Linked DNA regions of Canis lupus familiaris. The protein of the gene in region 2 purifies or fractionates together with the protein of the main gene of each other region. This does not show direct contact. Links are inferred from orthologs where the notes say so. Each region holds a gene or a part of one and is shown on either strand. Other genes may lie near its edges.

Region 1 (7,005 bases), on a different chromosome or scaffold from region 2:
CAGAAGCAAGAGCTTTCTATCAGGGCCAGAGCCCTGGGTTCTACCATTCCCAGCACCCCAGACCCCAAGAATCTCCCATTCCCCTTGCCGGGGCCCCCTGACCTCGCACTTGTAACAGCCAATGTGAAAACTGCGATCCAGAGCAACGATTCGTACCGTCTCCTCCTGCCCTGGCTCAGGCATGATGGCCCCACCACACACTGAGCACCGTGGGGCAAACTTCCTGGGGTGGAAGGGAACAACGGAGGCTGTCAAGCCCCTGGGTTGGAGGGGACTAACAGTGCAGCCCAGAGAAGGTGGGCTATGCAAGGGTACGGGAGAGGCCAGAGGGATGGATGGTCTTGGCTCTCACAAGAGAGAGTGACGGTAACAAGAAAGACAAAGTCCGGGGTAGGAAACTGGAGAAGCTGGTACTGGGACATAAAGGAGAAATGAAGAAGATGGGGAAGGTCAGATGTCTCGAGAAAGATGGGAGACCCAGTCTGACCTGTGGAAGTCCTCAATGCAGTGGATCTGGCTGGTGGCATCCACTGTGAAAGGGATGCCGTCGAGGCCACGGTGGCACACCACACAGGTAAAGCAGCTAGGGTGGTAGGCTTTCCCCATGGCCCGCAGGATCCGGTCCAGGATGGGTTGGGAGCATGTGGAGCACTTCTCCAGGGTGGCCTAGCGAATTAGAAAGGAAGGGTGGCAAGTTCAGGGCTGAGGAGGTCCGGTGGCTGGCAGGCACCCTGCTGGCCTACCCACCTGTTTTTATAGCCTGCAAGGGATTCAGTGAAAAGTGGCCCTGAACAGATCTAAGTCCCAGCACTGTAGCTTCCTACAGAAGTGATCCAGTCTCAACTTCCGTTTCCTACAGTAGTATCAGCTGCTTCACAGGGGCAGCAGTGTGGAAATTTAACATATTCCCTTAACTCAAGATAAGTCTGGTCTCCTCCTCTTCTTCCTCCTCCTCTCACATTTGTAAGGAACTATTGTCCTTTCCCTCCAGCAGCCAGTAATTTCACTACTTTCCCAATTCCTTCCTTCTTACACATCAGTTTAGTCCCCCAGCTTGGAGTTCTTTTTTCCTTTAAGACTTTATTTATTTATTCATGAGAGACACGGAGAGAGAAGTAGAGACATAGGCAGAGGGAGAAGCAGGCTCCCTGGGGGGAACCCAATACGGGACTCAATCCAGGGCTCCAGGATCACCACCTGAGCCGAAAGCAGATGCTCAACCACTGGGCCACCCAGGCATCCCCCACCTTTGAATTCTGTCCCTCTCATGTGCTTAGACATCTAGTTTCCACCTTAGATGGAAGCCTCCTGCCTCCTGCTACCTTAGATGGAAGCCTCCTGCCTCCTGCTACAGACTCCAGCACCCAGGCCACCCCCAGCACACCCACTCACCACATAGCAGCTCTCACAGTACGCCCTCCTCTCCACAGCATAGAAATGTTGGCCCCGAAGCTGGGCCCGGCATGTAGAGCACACGAAGCAGCCAACGTGAAAGACCCGGTCCAGGGCCACAACGCCAGCCCCATCCCCAACCACATCTTCCCCACAGCCGCCGCACCGCCCTGGGGACAGGGAGGGACAGGGTCAATAAGCATGCAGAATGGAAGGTGGATTCGCTGTCCCCTTGACTCCCCAGTCCCCTGCCCCCCTTCCCACCTCAGGTCAGCTCACCAAAGTACTCCCCGGTGGGAGGATGGTTCATGTCATGCACCAGTTTCTTCGTCAGCCTCTCAAGCTCTTCCTCAGGAGGCTGGTTCAGGGGGACCTGAAAGGGGGGAGTCAGGGGTTCAGCCCTACCTCCAGCTCCCTATGCTGTCAGACTTTCCTGAAGGGGACCAGGCAGTTCCAAGCAGAAAGCTCATCTGACGAGGTCTCAGCCCGGGGCCCAGGGGTGCACCTCCAGGAGCCAGTGTACAGCTCCAGCACCTCCCTCTTCTATTTCCTGACCAGCGCCACATCCCTGGGACCCAGAACTCCAACACCCCAGGACTCCCCACCCCACCCAATCAGTGTCCAGTTGTCCATGAGGACCCCACATCCCAATACTTAGGGCTTACCTGGGGCCCATACGCGCCTCCTCTTCCTCCTCCTGCAGCCTCCTCTTTAACCCCTGGCCCTGGCTCATGGTGGCTCCTATAGCCAGCCCCCCAGACTTCACCTTGGCCTGGGAGAGGAAAGTGAGGGCCCGGGAGGGCCCCGGAGGCCTGAGAGGCCCCCCGCCTGGGAGGGCCACAGCCTCTCACTGGTTGTGCCACCTTCACTTGCACAGGGAAGGCAGGGCCAGCGGGGGTGCTGGCTGTAGCATAGGAGGCTGGAGTGGGGCCCCCATAGGGAGACGCTGAGAGCTGTTGGGGAGGAATAGGAACACCCCCTCCATTCGGCTTCAGGGAGCCTGAGCCTGTGCGGTAGGCATGGGGCTGAGGGGGCTCATAAGCCTGGGGAGAAACAGACCAGGAGTGAGAAGGCCCATTCCAGGACACACACTTGTGGGCCCTCCCACGTGTGTGTGTGTGTGTGTGTGTGTGTGTGTGTCCCCAAGGTAGTGCTGGTCTTTGACAAGCACTCAAGAGGCTGACAATCTAGTAAGATGTGATACTCCTGCATGTATCACACATGGGGGCAAGGGTGAAGGGTACCAGGTTGAGAATCTAGGGAAAGGACCAGGATGGGGAGTGTGGAAGAGGGCAGGAGACAAGGAACAGGGGTGGGACAGGGAAGTCACCTGCCGGTCTGACCGCCGTGGGGCATGACCACGACCTCCATCCAACTCAGCCAGCATGCTGGTCAGCGAATCTATCTCGGCATCCAGACTTCCTGGACGCAAGGCCCCCCTGTCTGGGGGGAGCCCCTGGAGATGAAGAAAAAGCAGGGAGAATTCAAGTCACTTGCCCCGGGTGCCCCCACCTCCCACCCACTCCCAATTCCAATTCTCACCTGTGAGCGCTGGGGTGCTCCATGGCACCCCACCCAGGGGAACCCCCGATCATCTGGTCCCCCGGGGGCCTGGTAACACTGCTCAGATGGGAGGGGGCAAAAATTGACCCTGGGGTGGGGCTGATGTGCTAGGGTGAGGGAAAAGAGAGCCAAGGTGGGGATGGGGAAGGAGGGGAGGGTGACACTTATGGAGGCCGCCCTCATGGGTCACTCTTCTCCCCTCCCCCCCCACACTTGGAGTCCCAGAACAGAGCAGGAGCAGGAAGCCGGAAGGGCTTCAGGGAAGGGGTGGCAGGGACAAGCCAGGGGCAGGAGGCAGGAACCAGAAGGCGAAGGTGAGCTCAGAATGGCCAGTGGCCTCCTTGGCGGCACTGGGGCTGCCTTACCTGCTCCATGGGCTGGCGGCGGCCCCGGGGCACCTCGGGGGAGTGCTCTCCCCTGAGGGGCTCTTGCAGGCTCCAGCTGCCTTGGGGGGAGCCAGGTGGGCCCCGACATGGCCGGGATCAGGAGACTCTAGACAGCGGTCAGGCCCCACGTAGCCCCAAGACTCTGGTCTTGGCCCCTTCTTCTGTCCCACACCTCGTTTGGAACTCCAGGAAAGAAACTTTTTCTGGCCTTTTTTTTCCCCTTCCTCCCCAATTTTGGGGACAGCCACGCCCCCGGTGACGTCACCACATTCCTGGGGGAGGGTCACGTGGCCCCCTAGGCCCTAAACTGCCGTCCCTCCCCCAGTCGGCCCCCTCCCGCCGAGCAGGGAGAGCTTTCCAAGGCTGCCTCCGTTTCACTCGTTCCCCCAGACTGGCGCCCCAAGTCCCGCACGTGGCCACCTCGCCGCTGGGACGCGCTCCAGCGCGGCTCTTTCCCACACTCCCCCAACCAGATCTCTCTCTTCCCGCCCCACCTACCGCCCCTAGCAGTGCTCAGCCAGGCCAGCCCATAGTGTTTTGGTCTTTTATTCACGTTCAGCGGTTAGAAAAATAAAACAGAACAAAAACATCACAACCTCAGGGGTCTGCGAGTCTGTTGGGCAAGGGGAGACTGAGGTAGCCGAGAGTCAAAGCAGAGACCCAGCCTCCATCAAGGCACCAGTGAAGGAAGGGAGGCCAGTGGGGAGGGCTGCTGCCTTTCTCCCCCAGCGTGGTGGGGACACAGCTGCCCTGCATTAGTGCACTAAAGCCCCTCTCACAGGGACAGAGGGGTGCCCCAGCCCAGGATCCCCTAGTACTTCCACAGGGCTCCACACCCCACACGTGGAGCAGGCGGGAGGCTGCCCTTCCCTTCTGCATCCACTGATCAAAGCAGGTCACCGGACCTGGGCACCCTCTGCTCCAGGCCCCGGGCATCAGAGATCAGTGCAAGTGACTGGGGTGACTCCGTGAATGAGTAGCGTGGGGCCCAGATCATGGGTCAGAGTCTCCAGGAGCGCCAGGTAGCGAGTGTAGCAGGCAGGATCGGCGGGCGGCCGAGGCAGGTATAGGAAAGTGAGGGCTGTGGCAGGCCCACCTTCGCCATCCGCACCCTCAGGCCCACCGGGCCCGCCTCCTCTGCCGCGCCCCTGCTGGGCCCGAACCAGGGCGTTAGCACTGCATGCCAGGGCCTCTGCCTCAGCATCTCCCCGCCTGCCATTCACAAAGTCTCCTTCCTCCTCCTCCTCCTCCGGCTCCCCAGCCCCAGCCCCCTCACCCCACACCACCTCCTGTACTTCGGCTCTGATCCTCAGCTGGCTCAGCAGTGCCCGGAGCCGCCCCTCAGCCGCCCCGGGGGCCTCTCGAGGCCCCAGGCACAAGAAGATCCGGAGCCGGGCGCTATGCCAAGCAGGCACCATGCCCAAGATGGTTGCCATCTGCAGCAGGAAAAGGCCACACACATCCACGTAGCCAGGCCCACCCCGGGGCCGCAGCAGGTTGAGAGGCCACACATCCACGTGATGTGGCTGAGAGGTACCCCCTGAACCCCGGCTCAGCCGCTCCGGGGGCAGGGCCCCACAGGCCCGGGCCAGAACCACATTCTTGTTCATCTTGAGGGCGTCTGCCACTGTGGCCACATAGTCCTGGGGGCTGAGAGCCCGGGGGCTCCCAGGAGCCCGGGGTGGAGGAAACAGAGTGCTCAGGGCTGGGGACCCACCCTCCTGGGTGCCATCAGTAGCCTCGGAGAAAGCCGGGTCTGTCAGGAAGTGGTCCTGGGGTGCAGCATCATCATAGAAACCTAGGACCAAAGTGTTGGGCTTCATGCCACCTGGGAGCAGAGAGGGGGAGGTGGGAAGAGACAGGAATCAGACTCACAGGCTGAGTTTACACCACGCGAATACGCACCCACTTGCACACGCTGACAGCGACACACGTCAGCCATCAGGTATGGCATTTGTACAGTGCTTGGGCTCTCCAGGCTGCACGTTTGCATAATGACTTTTAGTTTTCCTTAATGCTTTTGTATACTTTTATTTGTTGTAACTGCATGACTAATGTTCCCCCACTTAAACGTAACGCAAAGTTTGCCTTAGGAGCAATTCTTCTTAACTAATGAGCACTTCTGGACCATGGCAGTAGGATGCCTCCACCCCAAGCTTCTCGCAGCACACCTTTCTTTTTCATGATGGGAGATGAGGGTCTGACTCCACTGGTAGACCAGACCCCCTGAGCAAGCAATAGTCAAGCTTGTGGCCTCATCCCCCAGGGAAACAGCACCCCAGACTCCGCTGGGGGGAGGATGAGAACTGGCCTGGTCTGTTCTTACCACTGCAGGGCCCTAATGATGGCGGGTCCAAAGCATGGTCCCTGGGGAAGAAACAGCTACGGTCTGCACACTAACCAAGAGCTAGGTCCTGCTGAAAGCACTGTGTTTTAACTCATCTGATCCTTAAAGCAACACTGTGAGGTAGACACTCTTTACTCACCCCTTTCACGGATGAGCAACCTGAAGCACAAAGCAGTGAAGTCACTTGCCCCAAGGCTCATAGCTGGTAGATACTGGGATCCACAGGTATACACAGTGTGCCCATCACCAGAGCCCATTCTCTGAGCCTCTGAACCTGTGTGTGTGTGTGTGTGTAGCAAACACAGTGCCCCAAGTCCCTGCTGACAGCTCCTGGTTTTTAAATTTTTTTTTTTAATTTTTATTTATTTATGATAGTCACAGAGAGAGAGAGAGAGAGAGGCAGAGACATAGGCAGAGGGAGAAGCAGGCTCCATGCACCGGGAGCCCGACGTGGGATTCGATCCCGGGTCTCCAGGATCGCGCCCTGGGCCAAAGGCAGGCGCCAAACCGCTGCGCCACCCAGGGATCCCTGGTTTTTAAATTTTTGATTGTGAAATTGGATAACTGGCCCCCCAGGCTCACTTTAACAGGGCTGAGTTTACAGAAAGACTCTGAGATCCTGCCTAAGGCTTTTTCTCGTAAAACGAATGGGTTGCTCAAAATCCACCAATAAATCAAGTTCTGCACTCCAAGAAGACTTACTATTTAGAGGAAATCCTTTCCTTTCATTTGAATCATTTTTCCTCGGGATAAATATGGTAGAAGTCGTGGTCTCTTTTTTTTTTTTTTTTTTTGAAGTCGTGGTCTCTTGGCACAGCTTCCCCCACAAAAGGTGGGTCTGAGAAGAGACCGGGGTCTCAGATGCTTCAGAGTCTATCTAATAATGCCTGACTTATTAGAACACCCCTGCAGGTGGGAACTCCAGCAGATCTTGCAAATTAAACTAGTCACCCCTTCCTGAGCATCATCCAGGGTTCTGGTTTACTCTGAACAGAATATTGTCCAACACTTGAACCTTAGCCAGATCTGAACAGAGAAGGAATCACGCACTCAGGGAGGAAACTGTCACCTGCCTGGGACTGAGAAAGAAGGTGGCAGCCCAGCACGGATTTGCAGGAGGCTGGGGTTTGAGGCTGGAGGCCTTGGCACTGAGGCAGAGTAATAAGGCAGGGAATCCCACTCACTCAGAAAGTATTGGCCCCACAAACCCTCTGCATCCTCTGCGGTCTCCGGAGGCCATGTCATACCACGCCTTCCTTCTCTGCCCTTTCCAAGCCCCAGCTGAGATACCATCTTGTCAAGAGCCACATCAGTGCA
Region 2 (6,226 bases):
CTGAGTGGCTCAGCGGTTTAGCTCCTGCCTTTGGCCCAGGGTGCGATCCTGGAGTCCTGGGATCGAGCCCCACGTCGGGCTCCCGGCAGCATGGAGCCTGCTTCTCCCTCCTCCTGTGTCTCTGCCTCTCTTTCTCTATCATGAATAAATAAATCTTAAAAAAAAAAAAAAAAAAAAAGCCCCCTCTAATTGATTTTTTTCTAATAAACTTTAAGCTGGAAAAAGATAGTTTTGGCTTGTTCTAGATGAAATCTTGATGGGAAACAAGTTCCCTAAATTTATATCCTAAAGAATTCCTTCAAAAAGTCTGGTTTGGGGGCATCTGACTGGCTCAGTCAGAGGAGCATGTAACTCTTGATCTCAGGAGTCATGAGTCCGAGCCCTATGTTGGGGGGCAGAGATTGCTTAAAATGAATAAATAAATTAAAACTTTAAAAAAGTGATTTAAAAACGATTTACAATAAACAGTAACCTTTGTTTCCATTTGTTCATGAAAATCTCAAACCCGTTCTAAGGGGCAGCTGATGTCCAGCTGTATACTTTAAGACACGTTTTATATTGTATCTATAATATATACAATGTTTTCTTAATGTTGTGAATATTAACGTAATCAACTCACCTGAAGGAGCTATTTGTTTCTGCTAACAGAAGCTTCACAAAAAGTTGGTCCTACACCCTGACACCCTCCTCTGTGTTCCTGCCCAGACCTTGCTCTTTCTGGAAGCTTCTGGAAGCACAGGTCCATCCACCTTCTGTTTCAATTCTGCCAAAGGGTTTTAAAGGCTAAATACTGGAGTTTTCAGAATACTTCATAGTGGGTGTTCCAGAGGAAAGTAGTTAATCATCACTGAAATTTACATTCCAAATGAACACTTTCTGTGCTTAAAACTCTCAGCTAGAATATTTCATCAAAAGACCCCACCAATGAGGAAGACTGATGCCAGAGATGCCAAAATCAACCCGCTGGAAAACACTGGTTTATAACCTACTTTTTGTGAAAATGTACATTAGGTCATTTTGCTCTGAAATTTAGAATCTCGAGGAACTAAAAGACACTGACATTGTGTAAGTTTGGCAGACGACATCAGATGTGGTAAACCGACGGAGCCTCAGTGTTGTAGTTTGCTCCTGAAAATCACATTACTTCAAAGTCCAGTAATGCCGATTTTTATTCAGAAATACTTTCATATCATACTAACTGAAAAAAAGTTTAAATATTCAAAAGGGATAAGAAATTACATGAGTCTTAGAAGCTAGTCAAACATGCGACATTTTAAGAGTGACCTTTAAAACAGTGTAATTTAGCCCTCAGAAGTAATTTACTTATAATTATTACAACCGAACACAAATATACCATATATTACTCTTTAGGTCTTTGTTTTACATTACAGTATGTTCTTATCAATGGGACACTTGAAAATGTTTAAACCTGCAGAAAAGCATTTTTAAAAAAACATACCACAGGAGAAAAAGAAGCAACATTCCTGTCCTTTACATGATGTGTGGAGATGGGAAACACGACCATAAAACTCTTATTCCATTCTTTTGGGAGCCCTCTCTCAGTATTTGCACTTGGGTCTACTGTTGCTTACACAGGACGTCTTAAAACAATTTCAGGTTTAAAATGAACATTTTGTCCCTAAGTGAGCAATGTGCCCACTTCCACTACTCACTGTCATTAGTATCTTCTGAGTTCTCCTCAGGGGGTTGGTTTCGGGGCACCCCGGAGATACGCAGACCCTGTAGGCAGCAAGCCCTGCCTCACAGCTGAAACACACACTCAGTGGTTACTACAGTGGGTTAAACTGCTATAGGAGCGAACGTGGGACTCAGAACCATCCCTAGGATATTGAAATGAGGGGAAGAGCCCTGGAAGCTCCGCATTTCAGAGAAGCAGCCTCAGAAGGAAAAACAAGATGGCGCCTCAGCGTTACTGGACCGTTAGTCCCTCCGTGAGGGCCTCTTAGCAAGGCCTTTCTAGCCGGCACCGAAGGCAACACCCCCCCCCCCCAACTCAGCTGGGTTCTGCCATTGGGATGCGACAGGGCTGGGGGGGCCGGGGGAGGAACCCAGAAGCTGACACTGACCCACTGACCTCCGGGGTGAAGGTAGGGGCTTCGAGCACTAAAACCCCAGCATCTCTCAAAAAGCACAGCAATCTCTGGTGGCCTCACAAGTTGGGGCTGAAGTTTTGGGAAATGAGGTGAAACTATTACCAACTCTTCCCTTCTTTCAATCAGAAGAAAATAAAGCCTCTTCAAGGCTCCTTTTAACGAGACTATAAACCTGACTTAATTTAAAAAGGACAGTTTAGGTACAAGAACTCCAAGGAAAGAGTGAGTCGCAGACAGTGACGGCCCTTGAACTCCGGGGGGGGGGGACCTACCAGGTGGGGGCTCAGCCACCACCCCAGCCTCTCGGAGTGTGGTTAATACTGTACTTCTGTCACAGGCATCGCACGCTGGCCCTCGCGCATTTCCGCTACACTTCCTCTTGCCCTGACATCCGACATACGCTTGCTTACTCCTTATCTCTTCCAGAGCACTTCTTCTGAACAAAATTCGCTGTTACTGTTTCATCTATCAAGCAATACATACATCAAAACTCAGATTTGTCTTTAACAACAAAGTGCTTAAAACCACCTATGCAATTGGTTTTCACTTCATTTTCAACCAATAAAATCAAACTCGCTTAGGTTTACAAATAATACTGAAAAAAGGAGTGAATCTGATTATTGTCTTACATTTTCGACAATGTGCCTTCGTTCCCAACTTTCTCTTACAGTAAATGATTTATTTCAGTACCTTAATGAGTTGAACTCTTGTTTGGAAAATATAGAAGGTACAAATATAGAGTATTTCAGGATAAAAAATTTTCTTAATATAAAAATGCCTTCTGTTTCAAAATAACACTTTTAGATTCTTCTTGTAGTTTTAGGTTTGGTAGCTAAACTGTTAAGGTTTTATTTAAAAAATAACAAGAGATAGTAACGGTTTTAAATACAAACTTCTAGAGGAACCAATCACACCTGTGGACCATCCCCGCAGAAAAGTTCAGTTTCTCAACAAGAAAACCCCAAATACTTTAGTTATAAAATAAAATTCCATTAACAAAGATAGAAATCTATGCGCCTCACTGATTGCCAGAGTTGCCCGGCACAGCTTCAGTACCACAGAGAATTGTCTAGAAAACAACCTCCACAAAGTGTGCAAGTGCTGCAAGTCGGACAGATGGGAGTGGGGCTGGGCCCTCGGGACCAAGTCCTTCTCCTCAGCATCTTTCCCAGGCTCAGACGCCCGGCCTGGCCCCCTCCACACGCTGCCTTCATGGGGCCGTCCTTCAGGCCCAGGCAGCGCGCTGCCTCTCGGGTATCCGGTGAGGAAGGACGAGTTAGGCGAGCACTTGTTTTCAGCTGTAAACGCTTCACAAGATTGGGTCCCCATAACAAGCTGTGGGAGTTCAGATGAGCCTGGAGCTTTTCAGGAACTGAATGAGGACTCGGTACACGAATGTGTACTGGCAGAGGGTCTGCACCATCATCATCCTCTGTTGCCTCAGCATGTCAAGCACCCTTGGGATGTCCAGCACCTGGAGGGAGAGACAGCGATGAGGGGGGTGCTGACCCCCACGGAGAGGGGAGGAGTACGGGCAGTAATCTGGTCAAGAAATGGACACTTTCTCCCTCAGCGTCTTCTAGAAGAAGCCTCCGGGGAACTTGTTTAGAAAAAACTGGTAGGCCTCTAGGTCCTTTGTGCCCCAGCCCTGGGCCCGCCCACTCCTCCGCCCTGACGAAAGGACATAGCTACCTCATTGTGTTCCAGACAGGCGATCATGACCTCTGACAAGATGACGACGCCAGTCCTTCCCACACCAGCACTGCAATGGACCAGCAACGGAGGGTTGGGGCTTCTTGGCTCACTGGTACTATTCGTATGGCGTCGAACAGACTGGATCTCTTCAAGGTATGCTGTGAAGTATCAATGAAACAGGAAAATACACAGGCATTAAGGCCCATCAAATTGACAGTTTCCAGATTACCATCACTGATGGGGAGGACTCCAGATAGAGAGCGTAGGGTGCCAATTAACCACCTCCCACCCCTCACTGACAGTGTGACTGTGGGCGAGTCACTGCCTCTGCCCCGACTTCCAACTGCCCCTCTACAAAATGAAATGGAGGAGACAGTCTCTAGGAGTCAGTTCCAGCACTCTCCTCTAAACACTTAACGCCCTTATTTTAAAGCAAGCCCGAAGCTTCTGTGAGATAACATAAAGGAAATATCTCTAAAGCCTAAGTCTTCCTCCATGTGGATGCTTTAAGCAGAGATTGTGCTGGGAACGAAGATACTTACATAAAAATCCCTTGAGGTCCTCTGGACAGCCATGCTCAGGCCAGTCTGTGTACTGGAGATGCCACACTGTCCTCTCCTGCCCCGTGAGCAGGTGCTTCATCTTCAGGCCTGTGGTGGCGTAGCAGCCAGAGTCCGTGCGGAACCGGGTTGTGATCTTAAACCTCCCATAGGTGACGGTGTTGTGACGGGAACCAAGTCGTGGCCAATACCTGAAGCTCTTCTCCCTTCCACCCTCCTGTTAAAGGCAGGCACGGTCAGGACGCAGCACTGCATCCAGCCACGGGGGCCCCATCACGCAGTGTGTCTGCAGCACAGAACTGCAACCCCACTCTGCCTTCTTCCTTCAAGGCCAGGACTCCCCGTGACCAACATTAACTGCTCCTCTCAGGCTGACCAAATCAAGGAAGAGAGATGAGTCCTTACCTCCTCTGCAGTCACCATTGCTATAATGGCCACTCCCTGTTCCCACACCATCTGCCAAAAATCCTGACAGGTATTCTGTAACGGTCCCTGCGTGGCAATATAATCCCACTCAATTCCACTGACAGAGACCTGAAATTAGAAAAGATTTTTTAAAGAAATTAATATGTGGGGCGCCCAGGTAGCTCAGTTAATTAAGCAGCCGACCCTAGATTTCAGCTCAGGTCATAATCTTAGGGTCGTATGATTGAGCCCCATGCTGGGCACGCAGCTCAGTGGGGAGTCTGCGTAGGATTCTCAACCTCTTTCTCTCTAAATAAATAAATCTTTAAAAATTAATCAATGTGTATTTATGTAGATATGCATACATGTATGCACATTCATTTATGGTGGTACTAAAAAATGAGTTATTCAGAATAAAGATTTCTCTTATTCTTTTTCCTTGTTAATACAATTCCTATTACTACCGGATTATAAATGTATGGACTCTAAATTCACATATCTACATGACCTGGGGCAATTTGCTTAACCTCTCTCTCTATTCACATGTGTAAGATAAAAATGTCCTGTACCTCATAGGGTGGTTGGCAGGACTAAATTAGTCAGTGTATAAGGTGCTTGCACATCAATAGGTTTTCCATACACAGTTGTTAGTGCTGCTGTTACGGTTCTTCTTAGAAAAACAGTATCACCATAACAGTATCCTAAATTTCAAACACAGTTTCCCTTCATGAAGTACTAAACACAGTAGGCAAAGTAGTAACAATCCAGCCAAAACCGAGGTTAAATGCCAGATTTCTGGGGCAGAAAAAAATACTCCTACTGAAAGTGGTCTCCCCTCTGAACTTCTAAGTCAAGGTCACCCTCCAGAATGACACTAAGCTTCCACCTGAGGCTGCATCCCCTTGAGGACAGTCTAAGGGAACAGAGCCATTGCTGGATCTACGGCCAGGAGATTGGGTTAAAGCCCACCGCCCCCCCCCCCCCCCCCCCGCCCCATGTTGGTGACCACAGTGCCTGGGTTATTCTGCCCATACTTTCATTCAGGGCCACCGGCTGGAATCTCACTGAGAGGGGCTCCCTCGGTGCTACCAGCACCACAGTGAGTAACAGGGTGTGGGTGGGGGTCTGGGGCCACCCCAGGGGAGGTGTCAGCGCTTTATTCAGAGGAAAGCACAGGGAGCCCCATGCTGACAGGTAACAGATCTAGGAGCTCTGAGGCTTGGCCATCTTCCATGCTCTTCAGCTGACCTCGGTAGCTTCTGCAATACCCACACAGGACAACTTGATTCAGTTCTCACCCATCCAGTCACAAGAGGCTGGATGAGTTATTCCACAGAAATGCTTGGTTTTTAAATAAATTATACCCAAATTATTTTTTTTTTAAGATATTATTTACTCATGAGAGACACAGAGAGAGGCAGAGACACAGGCAGAAGGAGCCCGATGCGGGAC

Evidence for each region. Proteins that work in one complex are often made in the same cells at the same time.
Region 1: the proteins of PTPN21 (region 2) and TRIP6 purify together in Homo sapiens (affinity purification with mass spectrometry; 3 studies listed by BioGRID and IntAct, with this or other methods). This does not show direct contact. The link is inferred for Canis lupus familiaris from reciprocal best matches to the Homo sapiens genes PTPN21 and TRIP6.

What each region holds. Positions count from the first base shown.
Region 1 is NC_049227.1:8,842,868-8,849,872, forward strand, and holds the start of TRIP6 (thyroid receptor-interacting protein 6), read right to left. Parts: upstream 3,734-7,005; 5' UTR 3,430-3,733; coding exon 3,321-3,429; intron 3,063-3,320; coding exon 2,935-3,062; intron 2,849-2,934; coding exon 2,723-2,848; intron 2,436-2,722; coding exon 2,058-2,435; intron 1,766-2,057; coding exon 1,672-1,765; intron 1,563-1,671; coding exon 1,393-1,562; intron 667-1,392; coding exon 488-666; intron 224-487; coding exon 103-223; intron 1-102. Other genes in the region: SLC12A9 (solute carrier family 12 member 9), read right to left, coding at 4,277-5,169. UniProt on the Homo sapiens protein: Relays signals from the cell surface to the nucleus to weaken adherens junction and promote actin cytoskeleton reorganization and cell invasiveness. Involved in lysophosphatidic acid-induced cell adhesion and migration.
Region 2 is NC_049229.1:60,033,640-60,039,865, forward strand, and holds the end of PTPN21 (tyrosine-protein phosphatase non-receptor type 21), read right to left. Parts: intron 4,904-6,226; coding exon 4,775-4,903; intron 4,587-4,774; coding exon 4,352-4,586; intron 3,968-4,351; coding exon 3,807-3,967; intron 3,589-3,806; coding exon 3,460-3,588; 3' UTR 1,152-3,459; downstream 1-1,151.